Rattus norvegicus: one gene and its partner. The protein of the gene in region 1 purifies or fractionates together with the protein of each later gene. This does not show direct contact. Links are inferred from orthologs where the notes say so. Each region holds a gene or a part of one and is shown on either strand. Other genes may lie near its edges.

The links.
Region 2: the proteins of Cdk7 (region 1) and Gtf2h4 purify together in Homo sapiens (affinity purification with mass spectrometry; 7 studies listed by BioGRID and IntAct, with this or other methods). This does not show direct contact. The link is inferred for Rattus norvegicus from reciprocal best matches to the Homo sapiens genes CDK7 and GTF2H4.

Annotation. Positions count from the first base shown.
Region 1 is NC_086020.1:33,588,123-33,594,840, reverse strand, and holds part of Cdk7 (cyclin-dependent kinase 7), read left to right. Parts: intron 1-1,589; coding exon 1,590-1,623; intron 1,624-2,922; coding exon 2,923-2,990; intron 2,991-4,969; coding exon 4,970-5,038; intron 5,039-6,718. UniProt on the Homo sapiens protein: Serine/threonine kinase involved in cell cycle control and in RNA polymerase II-mediated RNA transcription. Cyclin-dependent kinases (CDKs) are activated by the binding to a cyclin and mediate the progression through the cell cycle.
Region 2 is NC_086038.1:3,073,519-3,080,872, forward strand, and holds the start of Gtf2h4 (general transcription factor IIH subunit 4), read left to right. Parts: upstream 1-2,591; 5' UTR 2,592-2,759; exon of another isoform or gene 2,760-3,505; 5' UTR 3,506-3,508; coding exon 3,509-3,648; exon of another isoform or gene 3,649-3,994; coding exon 3,995-4,099; exon of another isoform or gene 4,100-4,444; intron 4,445-4,557; exon of another isoform or gene 4,558-4,675; coding exon 4,676-4,807; exon of another isoform or gene 4,808-4,833; intron 4,834-4,949; exon of another isoform or gene 4,950-5,020; intron 5,021-5,070; coding exon 5,071-5,167; intron 5,168-5,256; coding exon 5,257-5,345; intron 5,346-5,528; coding exon 5,529-5,640; intron 5,641-5,763; coding exon 5,764-5,832; intron 5,833-5,990; coding exon 5,991-6,074; intron 6,075-6,227; coding exon 6,228-6,360; intron 6,361-6,430; exon of another isoform or gene 6,431-6,548; coding exon 6,549-6,679; intron 6,680-6,791; exon of another isoform or gene 6,792-6,938; intron 6,939-7,286; coding exon 7,287-7,334; intron 7,335-7,354. UniProt on the Homo sapiens protein: Component of the general transcription and DNA repair factor IIH (TFIIH) core complex, which is involved in general and transcription-coupled nucleotide excision repair (NER) of damaged DNA and, when complexed to CAK, in RNA transcription by RNA polymerase II.

The DNA.
Region 1 (6,718 bases):
GTGCAGAGCCAGTGTTGCTACTGTGTCATTTTCCCAGGACCCCTGCTCCATATTTAACTTGGAAAGACGGAAGGACAGCTAATTGTGAGTATCACATGCAGTTCTAGAATTTCAGAGGCTGAGATGAGGATTTCAAATTAAGGCCAACCTGGACTACATATTGTAAAACCCTTTCTCAAAAACAAAGCAAAGCAAAACAAACAAGAAATGTCCAAAACACAAACTTAAAATTAAAAAAGGAATAAGGTGAGCGGTAGTGGTGCACACCTTAAATTTCAGCGCTTGGGAGGCAGAGGCAGGGGGATCTTTGAGTTTGAGGCTAGCCTGGTCTACAGATTGAAATCTAGGACAGCCATTGCTACACAGAGTCTTAGTTACCCTGTGTCTTAGTTATGGTTTTACTGTTGTGATCAGACACCATGACCAAGGCAACTTTTTTTTTTTAAATTTATTTATATTATGTACATGAGTACACTGTAGCTGTCTTCAGACACACCAGAAGGGGACATCGGATCCCATTACAGATGGTTGTGAGCCACCATGTTGTTGCTGGGAATTGAACTCAGGACCTCTGGAAGAGCAGTCAGTGCTCTTAACCGCTGAGCCGTCTCTCCAGCCCCAGCAACTCTTATAAGAACAACATTTAATTGGGCCTGGCTTACAGGTTCAGAGGTTTAGTCCATTAGCATCAAGGCAGGAACATGGTGGCATCCCAGGCAGGCATGGTGCAGGGGGAGAGTTCTACATATTCATTTGAAGGCTGCTAGTGGAAGACTCACTTCCAGGCAGCTAGGATAAGGGTCTTAAAGCTCAAACTTCACAGTGACACACCTACCCCAACAGGGCCACACCTTCTAATAGTGCCATTCCCTGGGTGGAGCAGTACAAACCATCACACCCTGTCTCACACAAAAGCGGTGGTTGGGGGGCAGGGGAGATATAAAGGAGACAATTATTTTGTGCACATACATGTACCACAGCATGCTCTGAAGGTCAGAGAGTAACTTGTGGGAATTCTTAATTCCAAATTGTGAGCCATCATGTGGTTGCTGAGATTTGAACTCAGGATCTCTGGAAGGGCAGTAAGAGCACATCTCTCCAGCACCCTTCCCTGCTTTATAAGAGTTGAGATATAAAGGAATGTAGCCCCAGTCCCAGCTGTTTTGATTTATTTGATACAGAATCTTGCTGTATAGCTGGGGCTTTGCCTCCCAGGTGTTGAGACTACGGCATGCACCACCATGTCAGTCCTGCTTGTAGCTAAGTGTCTGTACATATAGATTATACATTAATTTTACACATTCTGAATTTTTGGTTGGTTTTATTTATAAAACATTTATTATTTTATGTGTATCAGGATTTTACTTCCATGTATGCCTGCGTACCACTTGTATGCCTGGTGCCATCCAAGGTCAGAAGTGGCATTGGATCCCACTGGAACTGGCAGTTGCAAGCTGCTGTGTGGATGCTGAGAATTGAACCTAGATCCTTAGGAAGCAGTCAGTGTTCTCAACCCCTGATCCATTTCTTCTATCCTCTACACATGGTTAATATATGTGTCTTGGTTTTGTTCTCCCTGTCTCTCCCAGATCAAACTTGGACACAGGTCAGAAGCTAAAGATGGTAAGTATCACATGTAATTTGATCACCCAGGAGATGTTCTGATATGAGGCCTGAGGAGAATGTCAGGGAGAGTTAATGAGAGTTCAGTAGAGTTATTGCAGTATCTTTAGAGCAGCAGTTCTCAACCTGCGGGTCATGACCTGTTTGGGGTCCCATAACATATTTACATTACAATTCACAACAGTAGCAAAACTACATTTATAAAATAACAACGAAAATAATTTCATGCTTGGGAGTCATTGCAACATGAGAAACTGCATTAAAGGGTCATGGCATCAGGAAGGCTGAGAACCACTGCTCTAGAGAGTAAAGCAAGTCTGGTTAGAAGCAACATGTAAGCATTGCGGGAACATTCAGATTGTAAGTGTAAGTGGGGCAGTGAGGTTAGTGCTTGGTCTGGATGCCCTCGCTACTGCTTCGGGTGCTGTACATCATTGCTTTTGCATTTCTGGTGTTCTGCTTGCTTTGAAAAATTCAAGGGTACATCTTCCTAGAATAACACAAAGTTCCTGAAAAATGGACACATTAGGAAAAGGTTTATTTCTTATTCTCAAGCCTCTTAGAATATCAGGTTCTGTTTGGCCATCAAGTAATAGTTATTATGAAATGTTATGGGCTGGAGAGATGGCTCAGTGGTTAAGAGCATTGTCTGCTCTTCCAGAGGTCCTGAGTTCAATTCCCAGCAACCACATGGTGGCTCACAACCATCTGTAATGAGATCTAATGCCCTCTTCTGGTGTGTCTGAAGTCAGCTACAGTGAACTCATATAAATATAATAACTAAATCTTAAGGGAAGAAAGAAAGAAAGCAAGAAAGAAATGTCACCATCGTTGGGGATTTAGCTCAGCGGTAGAGCGCTTGCCTAGCGAGCGCAAGGCCCTGGGTTCGGTCCCCAGCTTCAAAAAAAAAAAAGAAAAGAAAAAAAAAAAAAGAAATGTCACCATCAGAGAAAGTGCCAGCGCTGTTGTAGTTTGAATTTCGACCATTTGTATTGAAAAAAGCTATCGTTCGTGCTAATTTGCTATTAGCACGCATAGCCTTTCTCTGATGTTTGTAGGACAAGAGAAAAGGCCCTATTACCACATATTTGCTACATGTCTGTCTATGCTATTGTAATAATTTCAGAATGATATGTAGAGACATAAGTACTTTGCCATTTTTCATATACTGTGTTAAGCTACCTTAAAACAATGTGGAAAACACTTTCTCATAAAAATAGTTAAATTTGCCCTCTGTGTGTATGTAAAAGGTTTGAAATTTCATAATTGTTGTTCATTTTTTACATTCTTTTTTTATAGGTATAAATAGAACAGCCTTAAGGGAGATAAAGCTCTTGCAGGAACTAAGTCATCCAAATATAATTGGTGTGAGTATGATATAAGCTGTGTGCCCCTTGGGGTCCTCCATCATCTGATTATGACGGCTATTGGTCAGAGGCTCAGTGTAGTGGATTGATGTAGATAACGTTGCAGACATTTGAGGATTGATTAGGGTGAAGTGTATTTTCTCTCCCACTTTTGCTGTGAGTGGTATCTTTAGCATTATACATATAAATGAGGAAAGGAATCAAATGTTTCCACACAGGTTGATTTTGTCAGAAATGGTTTTGAGTCCAACTGTTAAAAGTAGCAAATTGCATTTAAGTTGAGAACCTTGTTGCCTGCATGAGGGCTGGAGTGGATTTCAGTGAAGTTACTGTAATTAGAGTACTAACAGTACTGCAAGTATGTATCCTGTACCTGGCAAGAAGTTTTTTACAAATTTGCTTAGGAAATTTTGTTTGTTTTTGTTTTGTTCACGACAGGGTTTCTCTGTGTCTTCCTGGCTGTTCTGGAACTCACTCTGTAGACCCAGCTGGCCTCGAACTCAGATTTGTCTGCTTCTGCCTCCCACGTGCTGGGACCAAAGAAGTGTGCCACTATGACAAGAATTTTCTTTTAAACATTGAAACTTTTTTTTCTTTTCTTAAATTTGAGTGTGGCATGCGTGCTTATGTATACAATTTGCCTATGCATGTGTATTTGGAGGCCTGAGGTTCATATAAAATATCATTTTCTATTACTTTTCTGTCATATTCACTGAGGCAGGGTCTCAGTCAAACCCAGCACTCAGTGACAGGGACAGTTTTTTAGCTAATGTGCCCTAGAGAACTCCTGTCTTCCGTCCAAGGCTGGAATGGCAGGCACAGCACTCTTCCTGCCTGGCGTGTGCATGGTTTCTGAATCTGAACTTTGGTGTAGTCCTTAACATTTGGGAGGCGGGGGCTTTTACTCCCGAGCCAACTGGAAACCAAGGTGAAATTTTCTTTTCCCTTTTTTTTTCCTCCAGATTTATTCATTTAATATATATAAGTACACTGTCACTGTCTTAGACACACCAGAAAAGGGCACCAGATCCATTACAGATGGTTGTGAGCCACCATGTGGTTGCTGGGAATTGAACTCAGGACCTCAGGAAGAGCAGTGAGTGCTCTTGACCATTGAGCCATCTCTCTAGCCCTCTTCCTTTTTCGAGACAGGGTTTTCCTATTTAGCCTTGGCTGTCCTTGAACTTGCTCTGTAGACCAGGCTGGCTTTGGACGCGGAGATCTTCCTGCCTCTGCCTCCCAAGTGCTGGATTACAGCCATGCATCACCACTGCCGGAGCTGTGAAATTTTCATTAATTTATTTATTCTAATTCTTGGACTTTAGGAAGAGGAGTTTTTAAGTTTTTAGTGAATTTGTTAAGTGGGTTAATGTTTTTGCGCCAGAGAGTACGAATTCTTGTTAACAAATGGGGCAAATGTTGAGTTTAATGAAGGAGTCTCAGTTCACAGGAAATTTCCCGCAGTTTAGGAATGTAAGCCAGGCAGTACACGTTTGTGTTATTTATAATCACAGGGGAGGTGGAGGCAGAAGTAGGATTGAGTTGAAGGCCAGCCTGGGCTACATAGCAAGTTCTAGGTCAGCATGATATATAGTGATGTCTTATCTCAAAAATCCAAGGACTGGGGCTGGAGAGATGGCTCAGTGGTTAAGAGCACCGACTGCTCTTCCAGAGGTCCTGAGTTCAATTCCCAACAACCACATGGGCTCACAACCATCTGTAATGGGATTTGATGCCCTCTTCTGGTGTGTCTGAAGACAGCTACAGTGTACTTATATATAATTTAAAAAAAAAAAAAAATCCAAGGACTGGCGGATGTATCTTAGTGGTGGAACACTTGCCTAGCATTCTGAAGGCCCAGGATTTACCGGTAGTGTGTGTGGGAAAAGCAAACATAATTTTTAAAAATTATTCCGACAATAAATTCCAATGTTATTAAATAGAGAGTAACAGTTTGACTTGATTTTTCTTCTTTGCAGCTCCTTGATGCATTTGGACATAAATCGAACATTAGCCTTGTCTTTGATTTTATGGAGACTGACCTAGAGGTAAGATAGAATTCCTGGAGATATCGCTCTACTTAGTGGAAGCAAAACCTGCATACTTATTCTGCTTTAAGAAAAGACTGATGAACAAAAAGTTGCTTAATTTTGCAGATCTCTAATTTCTTTCCTTTTTTTTTTTTAAAGATTTATTTATTATGTATAAGTACACTGTATATTGCTGTCTTCAGACACACCAGGAGAGGGCATCAGATACCATTACAGATGGTTGTGAGTCACCATGTGGTTGCTGGGATTTGAACTCAGGACCTCTGGAAGAGCAGACAGTGCTCTTAACCATTGAGCCATCTCTCCAGCCCAGATCTCTAATTTCTTTACATTTAATTGTATTTCTACTAAGAGGTATAGATTTTATTGACATTTTGCCAAGTTCCTTTTAACTTACTGACATTTTCAGGCACATTAGACCTGACAATTTTATATTCATCCCCATATTATCTATCAAAGGTTAATGTCTTTTAGAAAACCAAGTTTCTCTGTAAAAGTTGCAGGTTTTTTTTTTTTTTTTGTTTTTTTTGTTTTTTTTTTTTTTTTTTTTTTTTGGTTCTTTTTTTCGGAGCTGGGGACCGAACCCAGGGCCTTGCGCTTCCTAGGTAAGCGCTCTACCACTGAGCTAAATCCCCAGCCCCGCAGGTTTTTTATTAATTAAATCCCCCAAACATTAATAGTTCCAAGTTAAAACTAAAATTCTTATACATTGCTGGTTTGAATCCAAATTTTATATTCACTTTGGAAAGTAGTACAGTTTGTCAAAAAATTAAAGACACATTTACTATCAGATCAAAGGTAAAAAGGATTTTTATGACTGCATCAAGCAGGCAAAGGAATGCAGGACGTACAGCCTTAGTCTAATTACCTCTGTAAGGAAATGCTTAGTCCCTTTAATTCTACCACACTTGCTTGGGTTTCTTCCTTCCTTCCTTCCCTTCTGTCTTTTTTTTTTTAAAGATTTATTTATTATGTATATAGCATTCTACCTGCATGTACGCCTGCAGGCCAGAATAGGGCACCAGATCTCATCATAGATGGTTTTGAGCCACCATGTGGTTGCTGGGAACTAAACTCAGGACCTCTGGAAGAGCAGACAGTGCTCTTAACCTCTGAGCCATCTCTCCAGCCCTGTCTTTCTTTTTCTGATATAGGGTTTCTCTGTGTAGCCTTGGCTGCCCTGGAACTCACTCTGTAGGCCAGGCTAGCCTTGAACCCAGAAATCTGCCTGTCTCTGCCTCCCAGGTGCTTTGATTAAAGTTATGTACATCACCACCCAGCGTTACTTGGGTTTCTTGATTGGTAAGTAGGTTTTAGGTCATAGGTCATGTGTCTTGTTTTTTTTTTTTTTTTTTTTTTTTTTTAATATTTTGAAATTTTTATTAGAGGAAATATCTAATGGTTGTCGTACACAAATATCGGTTTCTCAAGGACAGAACGACAGATTTATCTGTGTTTGAAGTTCCAGGATAGATAGCAAGAGGCACTGTGCTCAAACATACTTGTAGTATGAAAGGGCCATCATGAGTACAAAGCTGTTACCTTCGGTTTCTACTCACAGTTGACTTAACAATTCTCCGTCCCAGCGGAGGGAACAGGGGATGTAGTACCAAGTGGCCAGCCGCGGCCCCTGGTGCTCAATGCCTCAGCTATGCTGCACACTCAGGGTACAGCAGA
Region 2 (7,354 bases), on another chromosome or scaffold:
CTTTTGTAGACCAGGTAGGCCACGAACTCACAGAGATCCGCCTGCCTCTGCTTCATGAGTCTTCAGATTAAAGGGGTGTGCCAACACACCCCCAGCTTGGATGATTCAATTCTAGTGGTGGCTTTGCTAGGTCAAAAAACAATCACGTTAAAATTGTTTGTGGAGGGTTGGGGATTTAGCTCAGTGGTAGAGTGCTTGCCTAGCAAGCACAAGGCCCTGGGTTCGGTCCCCAGCTCCGAAAAAAAAAAGAAAAGAAAAAAAATTGTTTGTGGAAACTGAGGCAGGAGGATTGGGAGTTTACAGCCTCCTCCACGACCACTCCCAATCCTTCTACCTTTGCCTCTTCCAAGGGCATGCAGAGTTACAGGCCCATGTGCCAGATTCATCTTTTTTCTTTCCTCCTCCTCTTCCTCCTCCTCTTCTTCCTCCTCCTCTTCCTCTTCTTCCTCCTCCTCCTCCTTCAACATTTGTTTATTTTATGTATGTGAGTACACTATAGCTGTCTTCAGACACACCAGAAGAGGGCAGGAGGTCCCATTACAGATGGTTGTGAGCCACCATGTGGTTGCTGGAATTGAACTCAGGACCTCTGGAAGAGCAGTCAGTGCTCTTAACCACTGAGCTATCTCTCCAGCCCCTTCTTTTCTTTCTAAAGAAGATTATTATTTTTAAGTTCTGTGTCCAGGTGCTACAAAGGCGCAGAAGGGGACATTTGATCCCCCTGGAACTGGAGTTACAGGAATTTTATTCTTTTTACTGTTAGATTTCTGAACAGCTTAAAGGGACAGGAGGTAGAAAAGAAAACAGACTGATTTCAACTGATTTCAATAGTTTATTTCAGACACAGTGTTAGAGGAGCATCTGCCCAAAAAGGAAGCGGGTACTTGGGTTTATCTAGGAGGTTTGCGGAATGGGAAGTTAAGCGCTGCATCTGGGGCTATGTGCAAGTCTTCAATTTCTCCCTCCTGGAGAAAAGGCCATTTTATCTTTAGAAACTGCCTTGCCTTGGCTGAGAGTTAAGTAACAGCAGTGAGGGAGGGGCTGGAGTTCCACTATAGGGTCTTGGTCAGGATCTGGTTCCAGGTTTATTCTAACATTTACAACCAAGACAACGACAGAGTACTTTCATTGTTAAAAGGTGACTTTTAGGGGCTGGGGATTTAGCTCAGTGGTAGAGCGCTTACCTAGGAAGCGCAAGGCCCTGGGTTCGGTCCCCAGCTCCGAAAAAAAGAACCAAAAAAAAAAAAAAAAGGTGACTTTTATTATTACTGCTGTGTGTGAGTGCCGGAAGGAAGAGGCCAGGATGCCCAGCTCCATGGCACAGGAATGGAAGTCAGTTGTCTTTCCCTCTGCTCAGGTCACAGCACAGCAAGGCCTTTCCCAACTGAGCCATCTCAGCAGCCTGCGACTTTCTTTAAAATACCTAATAAAGCATCACCAAGTCCTTACATGGCCCCACCATTTTTGCCCTTGGTAAATGTGTTTCTCATCAGCACTGGGACTTCCTTGTGCCGTTTTCTTATTCTTGTTGGGCTTGATAGTGATGTAAGAATAACAGAATTTGCCCCCATAAGAATTGGAGAGGGATTGGGGATTTAGGTCAGTGGTAGAGCGCTTGCCTAGCAAGCGCAAGGCCCTGGGTTCCGGTCCCCAGCTCCGGAAAAAAAAAAAAAATGGAGAACCTCTAGATGACCTTAGTTGCTGTCATTCCTTCCTTTCCCTTGTCTTGTCTATGATAAATTCATAAGTCAGATCAGGGCAAACGAGAGCTTTCTTTTAAAAATTGTAATATAATCTTCTAACTCCCGGGGAGTTGGAAGGGCTGAGGAGGAAGAGATTAAGATTGATTGTGCGAGGGGTTGGGGATTTAGCTCAGTGGTAGAGCGCTTGCCTAGGAAGCGTAAGGCCCTGGGTTCGGTCCCCAGCTCCGAAAAAAAGAACCAAAAAAAAAAAAAAAAAAAAAAAAAAAGATTGATTGTGCGGGTTGGGGGATGGTGGAGAGATGGCTCAGCAGTTAAGTACACTGGGCTGTTCTTCCAAAGGGCCCGGGTTCAATTTCTAGCACCCATATGGTAGCTCACAGCTGTCTGTAATTCCAGTTCTAGGGGACTCTGACCTCACAGACATTTTGATTGATTGAGCATTTAGTAGCCAAATAAGGGCGATTGTGTTGATCCTCGACTCATGAAAACTCTCTGCACTGTGCATTATCTCAGTTTTGTGGAAAACAGCACAGGTCAAGAAATCCAGTTTTGAGGTCTCTAAGTCTAACATACCACCACTGAGCTGCTGTAGCGCGTCTCCGATAGGAGACCCTGGAGCTCCTCCAGATTGGGTGCCTCCTCCTGTCTAGCCCTGACTGAGATTAGCTTTAGCTTCACAAGGGAGAGAGGCGCGGAACCAAATGGTCTGGCTTAGGGTGTTCCTAGGGAATCCTAATGAAAAGTCACTGTCTCTCGGCCGGCCTTCTTGCGGTGCCTTTCGGGAACTGTAGTCAGACCCTCCTCACAGTGCTCCAATGTAGACTAGGAGAGGACTACAATTCCCAGTATGCCACGCGACAGGCGCGTACATTGCCTATTCTAATCCCCTTTACTCTTGACACTTTTTCTGCGCTCCCTTCTCTTTGGGCTGCTTTTTGGCTGGGTCCTGTCTGTGAAGTTCTCCGCGGTTCTCCCACGTTTTAGAATTTTCATCTTTTATTTCCAGGAGTCAATGCGAGACATTAGCTCTGATTAGGCGACGGCTGGTGACCCGGGGTGCGCGGAGGGGATCCGAGTGGTGAGGGGGTGTGAGAGGGGTCAGGGAGGGAGAGAGTTGAGTGAGAGGTGGTGTGAAAGGAAAGCTGGGGAGAAGTGAGGAGCTCGGAAGCGTGTGTCTCAGTGAGAGGGGTGAAGCTGGCTCGGGGGGTGGGGGGAAGGGATAGAAAGATATTTAGGTTGGTAAGCGTGGAGGCAGTTTATAACCGTGTCCCCAGATGAGAGCGCTAAGTACTTGACAGATTTATAGTGATTTGACCAGGAGGGTGGACAAGAGAGAAGCTTAGGCTCAAACAAGCATCTTTGTCACTGCTTAGGTCAACTAGAGACATCATTGATAATGCAAAACACTTTTGCAAGTAGGACACAACAAGTAATTCAGTCACTTTTGTACACACCAGTGAGGATCTGGATTTGATCCTCAGGACCATACACAAAATGAGAATAATCTCACCCCCTGGAGACTGAAAAAAGGCTGAACTTAAAGGCAGATGTGGGATGAAAAACCTGGTGGCCACTTGTGACATCGAGGTCACAAAGATGGGTCAGGGGTTCAAATCCATCCTTGGCTACATAGCAAGTTCAAGGCCATCCTGAGCTGCATGATGAAGAAGCAGGACACGAAGGGTTTGGGAGGAATGAGTGGCACCAGACAGGAAAGTACAGAAAGTGAACCTGATAGATCTGGAGTCATAGATCTGGAGTGATATGGGTCATGCGGGAGTTCTGACACTTGTCCCTCTCAGGTGATGGAGATCACCCCCGCGAGGGGTGGACTGAACCGAGCACACCTACAATGCAGGAATCTACAGGAGTTCTTAGGCGGCCTGAGCCCTGGGGTGCTGGACCGATTGTATGGACACCCTGCCACTTGTCTGGCTGTCTTCAGGTGAGGGGCGTTTGGAGAGTGTAACGGGGCCTGCAGACTGAAGTTAGTTATCATGGAGGAGAGGCTTACCTCAGTGAGTACCAGGGTGTTAGACAGTGTGTCAATCCAAAACAGAGGTTGTGGGGGCAGCGGGACTGGTAAGGATGTGGGAGATGGCGTGAGACATTTGAGAGGCAGATGTTGCAGGGTATTTGATCACATTGTGAACCCCAAGGTTATGAACCAGAAAAACCTTGTATTGTGGTTCAGTCCTACCATACACCTTTTAGCCAAGGGGCCAGGCAGATAAGGGCAGAGATGCAGGTGTGAGGTTGCTTCTGATAACATTGGCCTCTGAACCTTACAGGGAGCTCCCTTCCTTGGCTAAGAACTGGGTGATGAGAATGCTCTTTCTGGAGCAGCCTCTACCACAGGCTGCCGTGGCCCTGTGGGTGAAGAAGGAGTTCAGCAAGTGAGTCCTGTGCAAGCGTCATTTCTCAAATTGCTTTTGTTTGGAACACTGCCAGGGTGCACACACACAGGAGCTGGGGATCAGATCTAGGGCCTTTCAACAGACTCTGCCCTACACAAGGAAAACCCTCCAGAATACACTTGCAGTGGTTTCCATGGTGCAGAGTTGTGATCTCTCTAGCTGTATACTAATTAGAACAAAACAAACAAAAAGACCAAAGGAAGAAAGGAAAAAAGTAGCCAGCGAAGTAGGGAGGTAGAGACAGGAAACAGTAGATTGTAAGGTTACATTGCAAGTTTGATACATTGTAAGGTCGAGGCTGTCCCAGGCTTCATAGGACCCCTTCTGAAACAAAACAAATGGGGGAGGGGGGATTGACTTAGAAAACAAAACAGAGAAACCAACAACAATCAAAACTAGCTATGTTGTCCTTAGCATTGTAGTGCAGGTTGCCTCACCCAGTGCATGTTGCTTCCCTCTGCAACACTGTTCCAAGGACTGCCATTGGGGGAGAGAGAGCTCCCTGGAGGTCTCCTTTCTATTCATGACACCTCACCCAACTCTGCTTCCGTCCAGGGCTCAGGAGGAAAGTACCGGGCTGTTGAGTGGCCTCCGTATTTGGCATACCCAGCTGCTCCCCGGTGGACTCCAGGGCCTCATCTTGAACCCTGTCTTCCGCCAGAACCTCCGAATTGCTCTTCTGGGTGGGTACGTCATTCCCTTCTCTTCCTGAGCTAGGCCAGGGGAACAAACTGCTTACTACACTGATGGGGGGAGAAGCTCTTGAGAGACCTCCCCAGAACCTCTTCCCCCTCACTCCCACCCCTTCGGGAAGCTCCTTCAAGAATACATTGGACCAGGTGTGGGTGTGGGCTGCAGAAAATGTCCTCTTCTCATGGTTCATGGGGCGAGGGAAAAGACCTAGAGAAGCAGGAAACAGGGCTCCTTATTCCTGTTCATCCTGGCCACAGGGGCAAGGCCTGGTCTGATGACACAAGTCAGCTGGGACCAGACAAGCACGCCCGGGATGTCCCCTCACTTGATAAGTACGCCGAGGAGCGCTGGGAGGTGAGGAGTGGGCCTCTGTGGGCCTCCGCTGTGCGCCCTGTTCCCAGTAGCCCTAGAAACCCCAGTCTCCTGACCCTTTTCATCTCTAGGTGGTCTTGCATTTCATGGTGGGCTCCCCCAGTGCAGCTGTCAGCCAGGACCTGGCTCAACTCCTCAGCCAGGCCGGGCTTATGAAAAGGTGAGGAGGGCAGAGCATGGCTGCTCCCTGCTCAGCCATCTCCTTGGGTCTCAAATAAAGTGGGTATCTTCTGGGGCTAGGAGGGAGTGGAGAGAGTTGGCTGAGAGGAGAGGCCTAAGTTGGTGTAAGCAGACTAGGTGTAGCCCTTTGCAAGCTGCTACCATCAGCTCTCTCTGTCACTAGCACCGAACCCGGAGAGCCACCGTGTATCACTTCCGCTGGCTTCCAGTTCCTGCTCCTAGACACGCCTGCCCAGCTCTGGTACTTCATGCTGCAGTATCTGCAGACAGCCCAGGTAAGAGCCAGGGCCTAGGACGCTGCTCACTCTGCTCAGGTCCCTGAGTAACTACCAGCCTACGGTGCTCCTTAACTCCCTCTTTCTGTCTCATGTCCTGTCTCTCTGCCGTTTCCTTCTCAGAGTCGGGGCATGGATCTAGTGGAGATTCTCTCCTTCCTTTTCCAGCTCAGTTTCTCTACTCTTGGCAAGGTAAGTAGGGAGCGAGCTGGGGGACAGGGAGGTAAGGAGAGGTTATGGCGGAAGATGGTAATAACCACAGAACCACCCGAGAAGGCAAGAGGAGGAGGAGACAGGCTGGGTAGTGACCGTGGGTGTGTCATAGCCCCCGATGGCCATCTCTTCACCAGGACTACTCCGTGGAGGGGATGAGTGATTCTTTGTTGAACTTCCTGCAACACCTGCGTGAATTCGGGCTTGTTTTCCAGAGGAAGGTATGTACACCCAGCTGTAGGCCTCTAGGACAGTAGGGTGTTTGGGGTGCAGCCAAAAGACCTAGCTAGGACTGAGTGCTTGGGTCATTTGAGGGGGGGGAGGTTAAGGGCTGATGCGGGGGTCGGACCCCATCTTGCCCCATGTCCTTCCAGAGGAAGTCCCGGCGTTACTACCCCACACGCCTGGCCATCAACCTCTCATCTGGTGTCTCCGGGGCTGGGGGCACTGTGCACCAGCCTGGCTTCATTGTCGTCGAAACCAATTACAGACTGTATGCCTATACCGGTGAGTCCGGGTGGGGGTGGGTGGGCAGGGAGTGGGGAGGGGAAGGACACAGGAGAAAATGGCTGCCCACCTTCACTGGGTGGTCTATGTAGCTCCCTGGCATTCATCCCTACACTTGCCGGTGGGCAGGGCTGGAGGAAGGCAGGCTGGGCAGCCTCCTCACTCCTCCCCCTTCAACCCTGGGGCAGAGTCGGAGCTGCAGATCGCCCTCATTGCTCTTTTCTCCGAGATGCTCTATCGATTCCCCAACATGGTGGTGGCACAAGTGACCCGGGAGAGCGTGCAGCAGGCCATCGCCAGTGGCATCACTGCCCAGCAGGTATCCCTGCTTGGAGAGGAGGTCGGGTGGGGAAAGGGGCTGTGCTTGCCCTGGGGGGCAAAGGTGTTCCTTTCCTGGAAGCACAGGTCTGTCAGGGGAGGTGGTGAGTCACCTGGGTACCTGGGAAGGCGGGAAGGGAGGCGTCAAGCTGTGAATCTGCCTCACTCCACTGTTCACAGATGCTTTGTCTCTGCTAGCCTCACTCGGCTCCCTCCAGGAAGTAGCAGTCTGCCTCACAGGGGTGCTGCCTCACAGGGGTGCTGCCTCACAGGGGTGCTGCCTCACAGGGGTGCTGCCTCACAGGGGTGCTGCCTCACAGGGGTGCTGCCTCACAGGGGTGCTGCCTCACAGGGGTGCCGAAAGACTAGGTGCTAAGACTCTTGGCTCAGAGCCTGCCGAGCAGCAAGTGCTTAAAATAGAAAGAAAAACAAGGCAAGACTATGGAGAGAGCAGGAGTACCTAGAGGGGGTCACAGGCGTGACCTGGAAGTAACAGCTAGCAGGCATGGGTCCCGTCAGAGGGCTGTGGCTAGGAGAACACGGACATGCTGTTTCAGGGACATTAGGTGACCTCTCAGATGCCTTTCTACATTCTTGTGTTTTCCTAGATTATCCATTTCCTAAGGACCAGGGCCCATCCAGTGATGCTCAAACAGGTATGGATGGGTACAAAGGC